Linked DNA regions of Arabidopsis thaliana. The protein of the gene in region 1 interacts with the protein of each later gene in a pairwise test. Each region holds a gene or a part of one and is shown on either strand. Other genes may lie near its edges.

Region 1 (7,360 bases):
AGATCCTGATATGCAAGACAAGGTGGTGGAAAATTTGTATCCATTACGATACAAAGACCTACCGACTTCAGGAATGGGGCCACTAGATCGATTTTTTGAGCTCTGTAGGGAAGTAGCCAACAAAAGAACAGCTTCAGCTGTTATCATCAACACGGTGAGCTGTCTAGAGAGCTCGTCTCTGTCATGGCTGGAACAAAAAGTAGGAATTTCTGTGTATCCATTAGGCCCTCTTCACATGACAGATTCATCACCTTCTAGTTTACTTGAAGAGGACAGGAGCTGCATTGAATGGCTGAACAAGCAGAAACCAAAGTCAGTGATATACATAAGCATAGGAACACTTGGTCAAATGGAAACCAAGGAAGTTTTGGAGATGTCTTGGGGGTTGTGTAATAGCAACCAACCATTTCTATGGGTTATCCGAGCGGGTTCTATCCTTGGCACTAACGGAATAGAGTCATTGCCAGAGGATGTCAATAAAATGGTCTCTGAAAGAGGATACATTGTGAAACGAGCACCGCAGATAGAAGTACTTGGACATCCTGCAGTGGGAGGCTTCTGGAGCCACTGTGGATGGAACTCAATACTCGAGAGCATTGGAGAAGGAGTTCCAATGATTTGCAAGCCCTTTCATGGCGAGCAAAAGTTGAATGCAATGTATATAGAAAGTGTTTGGAGAATAGGGTTTCAGGTGGAAGGTAAAGTGGATAGAGGAGAGGTTGAGAGAGCTGTGAAGAGGTTGATCGTGGATGACGAAGGTGCGGGGATGCGAGAGAGAGCCCTTGTTCTGAAAGAGAAGATCAAAGCCTCTGTCAGTAGTGGAGGCGCCTCATACAACGCATTGGAAGATATTGTCAATTACTTGAAGACAAAGCAAAGATGTTGAACTTCATGTAATATTAATTGAATTGTTGCAAAATTTGCAAAGTGTGGTTTCTTTTGTATCACTCTTGGCAGTTTGCTCAATATAGAATTGTTGCATCACAATAAACATCTTTTCTTTTGTCTTTGATTACTACTCTCTCTAACAAAATAAAGAGATGTAACTACTTGCGTACACCATCGACCACATGCTTCACATGTGCGCAAAGAGAGCTAACAAAACATTATACGGATGAATTAGTGTCCACAAGCGAGAATCTGATATTTATATATATAAAACGTTCAAAGAAGATGAGAAGCAGAGTAATCTATAAGCCCGGAGCTTAGAGAGCTACTTATTAGTTTTCTTGTAGGTTTTGGAAATGGAGGAAAAGCAGGTTTCTTAGTAACAGTAGCTTCCGCCCTATAAACAAGTAGAAAACATATGTATCAACTACATTGTGAAAAGGGCTCCACAGAAGGAAGTACTTGCTCATCCTGCAATAGGGGCGTTTTGGAGCCATAAAGGATGCAACTCGATACTAGAAAACATGATCAGCGAAGGAGTTCCGGTGATTTGCAGGCCATTTTCGGGTGAACGCAAGGTACTTGGAGTGTGTTTGGAAAATTGGGATTCAAGTGGAGGGTGATCTAGAAAGAGGAGCGGTCGAGAGAGCTGTGAAGAGGTTAACGGTTTTCGAAGAAGGAGAGGAAATGAGAAAGAGAGCCGTCACTTTGAAGGAGGAGCTGAGAGCCTCTGTTAGAGGTGGAGGTTCTTTACACAACTCGCTAAAGGAGTTTGAACACTTCATGATGACTCTATGAAGACAATTACTTGTGTGGATGTTAAGAAATCTATGTACTTTTCTATTCTAGAAGAATCTCGCTACTATTAAATAAGATAATCAAGGTCTGAAGATAAGGTTGTCACTGAATGTATGATGTGCAGAGAAACAATCATATATTAATGAAAATTATGAACATATATTGGAGATGAAAAGGTCTTGAAATTATTATCTAAATCTCAAAGTAGAACCCTAAGTGGCTGAAACCTATGTCAGCAAGAAACATTGGAAAGACTTTTGCTTTTGTTAAAATGTCACTTTCTTCCTTTTGTTGGACGTTCATTGGTATGTGGCTCTCCAATCACTCGTAAGGTCATCATATGAGGAATACTTGATTGTATTAAAATGGCTTCTTCTGAAACATTTGATTGGTTTATAAATTTTTAAAATAAAGTTTGTGTCTGACGCCATCTCTCACAGAAATAAACAATTCACTCTCTTGATTACCACTTTAAGAAGTCTGCAGACAAATAAAACAAAGGGACTTACCTCTTACAAGATAGAAAAATGAGTATATGAAATTTGTCTGCAGTCTTCTCTTGGTTTAGCTTCTACATGATACTTTGTATGATCCTCTCCTGAACAGATGCAATTTGGGACTTTGCGGTGGAAAACTCCGCAAAAGATAAGAAATTTTGTAGACACCAAGAACCTGTAACAACAATCAAATATGATCAAGACCTGCAAAAGATGCAGAACCCAAACATAAAAGAGAAACTGCTCATTCTACCTAAAAGCTTGCACAGGTAATATCTTGTCTAGATCAAAAAACATCACAAGACTTTCCCAATGAGGAAACCAAAACCAAAATAACATGACACTATCACTTCTGCAAAAAGAGTACACAAGAAAATGTCGAGCCACATGACACATATGCTCTCTTGGATTTGACATAACTCACAGTGTTAGTTACCTAGTCCCGAAGAGAAAATTAAACACATGGTTTTCAAAACCACCATATAATTCCGAAGATGAATCAAACATGATCTGGATTACATTAAGTCTCAAGTCACATGAGAGCAATTTTGATACTTAATTCTCAATAACATTTCAACATAGCACAAGAATCTCAAAATCAAATTCAACTTAGTTGATTATATTAACTCTGTCAACATCACCAAACAAGTGATTATTAAGACTTTATTGTATACCATTTATAGTAAAAGACAGAAACTTGATGAAAATTTCGATCAAATCGAGTAAGAATTATAACTGTACTGTACTTAAAAAAACAGAAACTTGACAATAATTATCAGTTCCACGAGCAATAACAAGCTCACCTATCTCTTCCTCCCCCATTGAATCCATCTATAGACTCTTTTTAATTCTCATTTGCGCTTCCACCTCCAACAGAAGGATAAGAAGCCATGGATCCAAACTTATTCTGCTGCATCATATAAGGATTTGACTCAAACGCACCATTTCCACCAGCTCCATGATGATGACGATGATTCTGATGATAAGGATCATGATTATGATTTTGATGATGATATCCTTGCATACCCATATGATGTGCATAAACTGGCATCTGCATCATCTGTTGCGTTCCATACGCCCCCGGAATCGGCACTCCAACATTACCGCTGCTACCGCCACCGCCACCGATATCTTGGAAGCTCTGTGGAGGAACAGGTGTTGAAGAGAAGAGCTTATCCGAAGCAGAGGGACCTTCATTAGTCAATCCCTGCATCCTTTTGAGGTAAAGCCTATACTTTTGAAGATGAGACGCAACGTTCTCACGAGTTAATCCTTCAACGTTCATCAGCTGCATAATCGTCTTCGGAACAGCGTTTTTGATCCCTAAGTGAGCTACAACGTCAACGAATCTCTTGTGTAGCTGCGGTGTCCACACTAAACGCGGTCGTTTAAGTGTTTTCCCAGATAGATCTTCAGTTCCTGAATCTCCTTCTTCCGCCGCCATCGCCGAATCCGGATCCACACCGCCACCGTCATCTCCATCACCGTTTGATGTCTTTTGCTTCTTCGAATCCGATCCAGGACTGCTAGATCCAACTCGATCTTCCTCCTCCACGTTATTATTCGACGACGAGGTATTTGGACCTGAAGATCCACCACGTAGCGACGAGAGCGTCGTCTCCGATGCACGATTCACATCCTGAATCGTACGGCTTCTCTCCGGTGTGATACTAAACGCCATCGCCAAATTCGGTGGAATCAGAGAGTAAGAAAGAGATGCTAGATCTTCGTCGCTTGGTAATCCCATCTCCCATTCAGAAACCCTATCTCCGTCGCCGGAAACATCGTAATCGCTCATTTGTACTTCCTCTCCCATTTCAAACTCTCTAATTTCTCGAAATTCAGTTAGAGATTGAGCTCTTCGAAGCTCAAAATCGATAAAAATTCAAATCTGAGATCGGAGAAGAAGAGAAGTTTGGTTTGTGAAGATGATGAGCAAACAATTTTTTTTTTTTTTTTTTTCAGAAGTGAAACAATTTCGAAAAAGAGAAGATTATCACTTGTTTTATATTTTTCTTTTCCAGGAAAAAGCGCAATATTTTAATTCCAACGTGGACGAGTTAGCTAGATATTTTAGATCTTCTAAATATCTTTTCAAACCGACCTAACCAATCTCTTTTCAACACGTCATCAGTTCACATTATGTATCAATAGTTACGATCTAGGTGATTGAAATTGAAATTACCAAACTAGGCACGTAAGATGGAGCCACGTGGAGTGAAAAGAGCCAAGTCAGCTATTTGTGAGGGTTTTTCAGTAAATTACTACCGACTTAGCAAGTTGTGTTTGCGGGCCTAGAGAGAAAGTGGGCAAAACCGGTGGGTTCGGCCAGCTGGAGAGTGAAAAGAGGAGAAAGATTCGGTGATGAGTATCTACAGTACTGACACGCAATGTGATCTTTCCACCGTTGGATTGTTGTTTTAGATATTTATAGAAGCATATAAAGATCAATCTAACGGCACAGATTGGCTGGCACCTAACTTTTAAGAAAATGAAAATAATTATTGTGGAAAGGCTCAGAGAGGTTTAGTTACTCTGTTTAGCTTCTTCAACGTCACGGGTTCGATGCCCCAACTTCACAAACTGACGAAACGTTATCTTCTTCTCAAATTTCTGATTCTCTGAGATTTCCCCAATTTTTCATCTTCTTCGAGTGATTAGTACAGATTAGGGTTTTATTCGTTATTATTGTCTATATTACTCCTTGATTGTGGTCGATGACCTCGCTACTTCTTCTCAGAACGCTTCCGCTTCTCCGCAACGGATTTCTCAACCATCGTCATCAAGTTGGTATCGTAGCTGGTGGAATTCTCAGTCACCGTCGGCGTTTGTTGTGTTCTCTTGCTGATAGACCACAGTTTTACGAGAATAATGATTCTGTTTCTCCGGTGGAGGGATCCGGCGCGGCGGCGATGAACGTGACATCGCCTGTTGTTGATAATAGCTGGCGTTATGAAGATCCTGATTATCGGAAATGGAAGAATCTAGAGGCTGAGATTCTTCGAGATATTGAACCTATTTCTCTTCTCGCTAAAGAAATTCTTCATTCCGATAGGTAATTTCTTCAAATTCTTGCTGATTGTTCTTCAATAGCTGTTCCATGTTTGGATTAGTATTGAAGGTATAGGCTCATAGCTTCTTCCAGTAGCTTAATCAAACAACATAGAGACACCATATGGCCTTTTGAGGTGACTATTACACATGATGATATTCTTGGCTTATTGTTGAGGATCCTTTAGCAATGGATGATAGGATTATAGTGGTCATTGCAGAAAGTGAGAGATGCTCTTGTATATATCTTCAGTTTACTTGAACATTAGGCAAATTACAACTTTTTTCTAGTGAACTATTGACATTTGAAGCTAGCTTCAGAGCATACTTGCTGTTTTCTTTGTGTAGATTACTTTTTGCAGTTCTAGTGAGCTGTTTTTTTTTTCCTTTTTGGTAAGCAGGTATTTGGATGGAGAACGCTTAGATTTTGAGGATGAGAAAATTGTCATGGAAAAGCTTCTTCCTTATCACCCATATTCCAAAGACAAAATTGGTTGTGGTCTTGATTTTATAATGGTACGTAAATTCGAGCTAACCCGATATCTCTCTCTTTAAGCTCTACTCATATAGAAATTATCTTGAGGTATTGTGCATAGTTCTCGAATCACCATGATAGATATATGACTTACTTACATGCTCTATCCATAAATCTTCATTTGCTTTATGTGCATGGACTTATGAGTGTGCTACTTTGTTACTGGCAGGTTGATCGGCATCCACAATTCAGGCACTCAAGATGCCTCTTTGTTGTGAGAACAGATGGTGGATGGATAGATTTCTCGTACCAAAAGTGTCTTCGAGCCTATGTTCGAGATAAGTACCCGTCTCACGCTGAGAGGTTTATTCGTGAACATTTTAAGCGTGCTAGTAGCTAAAAATCTGTATAACTGTCCCACTCATCATCACAGCAAATTCTCATAAATTTTTAGCTGAAATAACACAATCAGCTATGAAGCTTTGTTGTACAAAATTTATAAATTGCTCAATCTATTGGAAGACTTGAATGAGTTAGGAAAATAGTAGTTGGTTCAGACTGCAGAACAATCAATTTTTGAGACCGAAAGTAATTCTAGTTATGGAATACAATATTTGCATGTTGTAAAATCTTTTTAGCTGAAACTTCGAACATCCTTTGCAAGTAAAAATATTGTCACTTCAAACTTTCGAAGTAGCTAGAGAATTTCCAAAGTCTAAACTGTCAGAGAGCAAAGCCCAAAATGAACAATCTCAAAAAGAAACCCAAACCAGTACGCTTTGTAATGTTTCCAAACGATGAGGATAAGAGAAGAATCTACCTTATTCCAACCCATAATTGACTCCATATATATAACTCATAAAGTCAAATGTTTTGGTTAACAAACTACAAGCATTTAGTTGACAAAATTAAAGTTGAACCAATAACCATTTAGTCCTTAAACAAACTAAAAAATATGTCAACATATGTTGATAATCAACATATACAAGAACACATTTACATCATTTCCAAAATTCAAAGATTTATATTATATATTTCACATCAATACAAATAGATCTTTTACCTTCTTTTTCTTTTCTAATTTGGGGTCAAATGGATCTTTTACCTTGTGAAACAAATTATTTACAAACAAACAAAATTATTTTGTACTCCAACTAAAGTATACTTACCCCACAAAACGACGACGTTTAGTAACTTTCAAAGAAAGAAACGAAGGTAGGTCCCACGCTGATTCTTCTGAAACTTCTTCGAAGGTAACAGTTTTCACATTTGGGTCAAATATCTCGCACACGTCAATGACGCTCTTCACTCCAAAGAGACCACCGTTAATAACTCCGTCATCATCTCCCCTAGTCAAAACTCAAAACACTGTCACGTGTTCTCACCGTCTAAAGTAACACCGTTAACACTCACCTACAAAAAACCACATTATATAAACAAATCTTTTTTCTCCTTTTTCCTTCTCTCATCAACTTCAGATCCTTTCACCAGCAACACAAGTTATTTTCAAAAGATGATGCCAAATTCTAGATCGGCGACAATAACTCCGACGACAGAATCAACCACCACAACAACAACAACAACAACGACTCTAACGACGTCGTATTGGTGTTACAGTTGTACACGATTCATCAGCGTTTGGGAAGATCAA
Region 2 (5,913 bases), on another chromosome or scaffold:
TTCAGCCCTATGAAGTATCAAAGCTCGTAAGCTCTTTCATCTATGTTCCTTAAAATATCATGCATTTCTTGAATTTAGCTAAATAGTAGTTGCCGTTCAAGTAAGAGTTTGGTAATTTCAAAGACTTATCTTTATAATACCTTGTAGACTACTATGAAGAAACAAACTTTGATATGCTTTAAACTCTTTTCTTGCAGGTGAGTCAAACATTTGCAGAAATGATGTTTAAACATGGGTTTGTGCACTGTGACCCACACGCTGCCAATTTGATTGTTCGTCCAGATCCTTCTGGTAAGAGGAACATATATGGCAAGAGAAAACCGCAATTAGTGATTCTTGACCATGGCTTGTACAAGGAGCTTGACTTCAACACAAGATTCAACTATGCTTCACTGTGGAAAGCATTGGTCTTTTCGGATGCTAAAGCCATTAAAGAACACAGTGAGAAATTAGGCGCTGGAGATGATCTATACGTCCTATTCGCCGGGATACTTACAATGAGACCATGGAAGCAAGTCATCGACACATCTGTGGATCATTTAGTCATCCAAGGCAACAAAGAAGATGTATCAGAGCTACAGATGTATGCATCACAGTACTTCTCCGAAATCTCAGAGCTTCTCAGGAGATTGCCACGCGTGATCCTTCTGATGCTGAAAACAAACGACTGTCTCCGGTCAGTTAACAATGAGCTAATGCAAGGATCGTCTCTCGAGTCGTTCTTGATCATCGGGAAAGTATCTTCCCAAGCGGTTTTAGAGGCAAAGAGAGCTGAAAAGAAATCGTTGATGAAATGGCTGAAGGTATGGTTTGAAGGGTTCTCTGTTGAAGCAAGGCTTTGGGTAATGCAATTTGCACTTTGGATCTTACAAGTCAGAAAATCCTTAACCCTTTAATATAAAACGTTCCTGCCAATTTTATATTACACACCTCTCTCTATTCTTTGGTAAGTGGGTATCAAAAAATAACATTTATCATTCTTTGTATACTACACAAGGCTGTTATGTAACAAACCAATAAATCAACTTTATATATACTATGAGATTTGTATCATTTGTATGCTGGGAAGAGCTTATTACTTTAAATTTTTTTTTATATAAATCTTATTATCTTCTTAATAGTATTTCTTACAAAAACAATTGAGAATTTCTACTCATTTTTTTCCATCATTTATGAGAACCTTATGTAAACAGGTGTTGACATCTGAATCAAATTGAACCGAGATGGTTCGGTTTGGTTCGGTTTTGGGTTTGGTTAAATTGAGAAACCTGAATTATGCAGCGACCAAGATCTTATTCTCTGTTCTGTCTTTTCAACACTCGAGTCTGTCTGTCTGTCTCTTCTACGCAGCCGCGACTCCTTCTGTCTCCACCGCTCTATAATCTCCCCTGCGATCAATAAGGACATTTTCTCCGGTAAAGTCTCTATCTTTCTTCGTCTCTATCATTTCGCTTTGTGTTTCGTGTCACCTACATTTGATAAACCCTAGAGAGAAACAAATTGAGTGCCTTTCGAAATCGCAGAAGCACATTGTTAAAATTCGATTGATGGGTCATTGTTTTATTACACGTAATCTATTTCTGTTGATGAAATTAGGTCTATTAAAGATGTGATTTTGATATTTGGGGTCTCACAGCTTTTTTGAAAAAGCTTACACATTTTGTTTGAATTTGTCATTGTTGTTGTAGATGGAAGAGAGTGATGCTGTTCCAAAACCAGTTGTTGTTGATCCTCCATTATACGACGAAGCTTCTCCGTCAGCTTCTCAGCGCCGTCCGGTGGTGATCGCCGCCGATGCAGCTCCTCCGGCAGAAAATCATCTCATTCAAAGGATTCAAAGAGCTCTTGTGGAATTGCGCGAGTTGAGAAATCAGTTTAATGCCATTCTTAGGGAACTAGAATTCGAAGGTTTGTGTGTGTTTCATCTTCCTATTCTACGTTGTGTTTTCTAGAAAAAGAGATAAACAATTTTGATGATAATGCAGTGGGAGAAGAAGAAGAGCAAGCGGAATCATCAGTGGAAGATCCAGAGGACTCTGATTCTTAGTTTGTTTATTAGACTTTTTTTTTTTGTTTCTTCACTAGTAACCTATTTCTATCATGTTTCTATCTCTCTGCCCCTCATGATTTCCTGCGGTAATTATCTTTATCACTCTAAATCATCAAAGCCAACCCTTAACAGATCAATAAGTCTACTAAAAGAGAAATTACAAGTTTTTTTGAAGGAAGAATCAAACACATTCCACATAACATATAATATGCAGTTGTCTATCGTAAATGTTTTACCTTGACAATGGTTTTCGCAAGTAACGCATAATGGTCGAGAAACATTACATTTGCGACGAATTTGAACCTTATTCCCATATATCTCGAGAAGGTGACATTGCTTCATTTATGGGTATTCACCAAATAAGCATTCAATATGAATGGTAGTAATAAAGATTACCACTCGTACTTCTATGAACTTGGATTCAAGTTAGAGCCATTGTGAGTCCACTTCTGAATCTTTCCACTTACCAACCCATTTAGATGTTGCAGAATTACCATTTCTATTGGTTTTCCTATCTGCTTCTTTATCTTTGAGAAGCCAGCTTAAGTTTTAGCGCATTTAGCTCTTATTGCAAGATTGCATTGTGTCATAAAAGGTCGTTCTAAGTAAAATCTGGCACATGTTTTTCCAGTTAGTGGATTCATTTGTGAAACAGTTTGGAAAATGTTGCGGTTAAGAACTGTATTGCCAAAAATAAATTAAATGTTTTTCATCATTACTCATTGGTGACTGAAATGAATTGAGGTCCCTATACTCTTATTGCTTCTCAGCATCGAGTTGTTTGTGCATCACCATTGTCATGACTCATGATTTTTAGAATCATTTATGCAATTCATCATCTTAATCATTATCATTATAGGATGATTGTATCATATATAACAGTCGAAAGGGAAGGGCCAAAAAAAGTGAAATAAAGTTTTGTTCTTTGTAATGGAAGAAAAAGTTGGGAGGAGAATCATGGTTTCACTATGGTTCTTTGGAATTTTGATTTTGGTAGTTAGTGCCCAGGTTCCGGGAACCAAATTCTGATCATACTACAAAAAAATATCTTGCGGATTATTGTAGCTCTTGTCTTGCATAACATGAAGCTTGGAATTAACTAAAGAAAGTTTCTTAGAGATTCTTCTTCTTGTTTGTTCTCTAAAGAATCTAACACTCTTTGTAATGTTTATCTAAACTTGGAACTAATTAGATGTGAAACACTACAATTCATTAAACATGAGATCATGCGTATAGGAATTTGGTTCCTGCTGCACCGTGGCAAGTCGTACACCATATACCTTTTTCCCTATTTTATTCATATTTTACTTTATATTCACTTTACAATAAATATCTTTAGATATTTCTACAATAAGATCCTTATCTCTCTCCATGGTTTAATTAAAAATAAATCCAAGAAAAGTGCATAAAAAGATATGTACTTTTTATTCCTCTACCCAATCACTTCACAGCTTCACTCACGCGCGTGTTCTTTGATATCAGATAGATACGTCTACGTGAGATACACGCTCTTGTTAATCAAGTGGTGATGAAACAGAACTTACTCGCCTCGGTGTCCGATTCTACTCAGAAGATATTTACTATAAATATCTGATTTCTCTCGACTTTGACGAAAATCAAAAAGAGAGAAAAACACAATTAAAAATTATTATGAAGAGGAACGGCGAGACGAAACGGCGGAGGAACGTGGCGGAGGAGGCAGAGCAGGGAGAGGATCCGGCGATGTGGGAGAATCTTGACCGGAATTTCAGACAAGTGCAATCAGTTTTAGACAGAAACAGATCACTGATTCAACAAGTCAACGACAATCACCAATCGAGAATGGCTGATAACATGTCGAAGAACGTTGCTTTGATTCAAGAACTCAACGGAAACATTTCCAAGGTTGTTAACATGTATTCTGATCTCAATACTAGTTTCTCGTCGGGCTTTCACGGTGGGAAGAACGGTCACGATGGTGGTGGTGCTGCCGGAACTAGAGCTTAATGAACCGGAATCAAATTGTTTCTTCTTAGTTGGACCGGCCGGTTTGAGAATTTTGAATCTGTCCGGTTCAAGCTATGATATAAAGTAAATGTTTAGTTTTTGTATTGCAATGATGATTGTCGTTAGAATAATCCGTGGGAGCAAACCCATCTCTATTGGGGTTATTTTAGTTATGGTTTTGAGTCTTTTTCAATGTGTCTCTACTGCAATCTCTCTAATGATTATAATAATAATTGATACAGTATTAGATTACTTCTGGTTTGATTCTATTTAGAGACTTTTCTCATGTGACCTTGATAATAAATGAAGGCTTGTGGTTAGATTGTTGCAACTTGGAGTAAGTAATTTCGTCACATAGTGATGCAATTTGGTATGACATGTTAAATACAGTTGTTTTCTAGTGACTTTTCACTAGGCTGTGTATTAGAGAACTCTAGCATAGAAAATTTCTACGTTGTGACAATATTCATTTCCATCAAAAAGCAAACAGAAACTGCAGTAAAATAAATGTTGATACATGAGATCATGATCTAAAACCCAGGCAAACTATTTCGGCATTCATATACCACTAGAAAGCAAAGATCTTAAGAAGACGAAAGAGCTTTTGCACAAAAAGGACTAAAAAGAAGCATAGTTATTTGAAAGGGGACAAATGGCCAATTTCATATCAAAACATGAACTATCAAACCTATAAGTTTTTTTTGGGATTAAAATGGCATATGAAGAGGTTTAAAGTGATTAGCTCTGCTGTGACTGAGTAAATTTATGATTTCACTACTTTTTCTTGTAAACTTCTTGTACCTTATATTCTCAGTCATCATAAAATAGCAAATTCTTGCTCTCTTTGTGTGTGTAATATGGTATATATAAGGAAATTATGTACGATACTTTGTAACATTTGAATTTGATTTTTCTGTTGAGCATTAAGAATTTTGTTCTTCGTGAGAAAAAATATTTCATACAAAAACGATTCAAAACCATTACAAACTTACTTTGTCTAAGCAGGAAAAATAATTGATGGTCGAAAAGGATAAAAAAACAGAGGTCACATTAATATCAAACTAAACAATTGAAAGAAAACAACTACTTGGGCCTGATGGGGTTTGTCGGGCTCGCAAGAATCGACTGCTTGTTGGAGTTGATGTCATTAAGCAGTTTGCACTTGGCTTAATTTGGACTGTGGTGGACATAAGATGTGTTAGATTAGAAACATTACAACACTGATATGGTTGATGTTATTCTTGAATCATGACTCATGAGGATACATTTTCATTTATATTGTTTACTCTTTAATCTTTATATAGAAGAGGATACATTTTCATATCATTAGATGTAATTGACATATTAAAGATTGTGTGATTGTAAGGATTTTGAAGTAACTTATATTCCTTTTTTTAGGAAATACACCACATGATCAAATCTATCTTCAACGTTTTCGTGTCATAATACTTCATTTATGACAAAATTCTCTGTACCATTTTGACAACTACTGGCTTTGTCTTCTCCAAACACTTTGTTTTCAACATGATGGTGTTCATCAGTTATGTGATGGTGGTGACAATGACATTGTACATGCCCTTGACCATATAAATCGTAGGAGAAATATCTGTCCTTTTATATTATCTTGTCTTACTGGACCATTGAATTTTTTTGTCTCTTTCATCAGATTAAGTTATGTAAACCTTTTTTCTTCATAGAAGTTCTTATATGAGCTTTTTCTTTTTTCCTCAAGAAGAAGATTACACGGGTATACATACTAGAGATAGAGGTACAGAGGCTAATCTCTTGACTTGTAGGCTTGAGCCTAGGGAAGACAAATGAAGGTGCAGTGTATTCCAAATTAGCAACATCTAAAATTTAGGATTTTGCCCTACAAG

The links. Proteins that work in one complex are often made in the same cells at the same time.
Region 2: the proteins of PCL1 (region 1) and ELF4 interact in a two-hybrid assay, tested with the Arabidopsis thaliana proteins (one study listed by BioGRID).

What each region holds. Positions count from the first base shown.
Region 1 is NC_003074.8:17,179,887-17,187,246, reverse strand, and holds PCL1 (Homeodomain-like superfamily protein), read right to left. Parts: upstream 4,178-7,360; 5' UTR 4,000-4,177; coding exon 3,126-3,999; coding exon of another isoform or gene 3,028-3,125; exon of another isoform or gene 2,361-3,027; intron 2,359-2,360; coding exon 2,258-2,358; 3' UTR 2,196-2,257; exon of another isoform or gene 2,062-2,195; 3' UTR 1,893-2,061; downstream 1-1,892. Other genes in the region: AT3G46650 (UDP-Glycosyltransferase superfamily protein), read left to right, coding at 3-657, 1,467-1,686; AT3G46630 (DCL protein (DUF3223)), read left to right, coding at 4,901-5,238, 5,636-5,750, 5,939-6,109; RDUF1 (zinc finger (C3HC4-type RING finger) family protein), read left to right, coding at 7,223-7,360. UniProt on the Arabidopsis thaliana protein: Transcription factor that is essential for the generation of the circadian clock oscillation. Is necessary for activation of CCA1 and LHY expression.
Region 2 is NC_003071.7:16,732,668-16,738,580, reverse strand, and holds ELF4 (EARLY FLOWERING-like protein (DUF1313)), read left to right. Parts: upstream 1-3,668; 5' UTR 3,669-3,700; coding exon 3,701-4,036; 3' UTR 4,037-4,287; downstream 4,288-5,913. Other genes in the region: ATH9 (ABC2 homolog 9), read left to right, coding at 1-26, 198-896; AT2G40085 (uncharacterized protein), read left to right, coding at 1,689-1,908, 1,986-2,047. UniProt on the Arabidopsis thaliana protein: Component of the central CCA1/LHY-TOC1 feedback loop in the circadian clock that promotes clock accuracy and is required for sustained rhythms in the absence of daily light/dark cycles.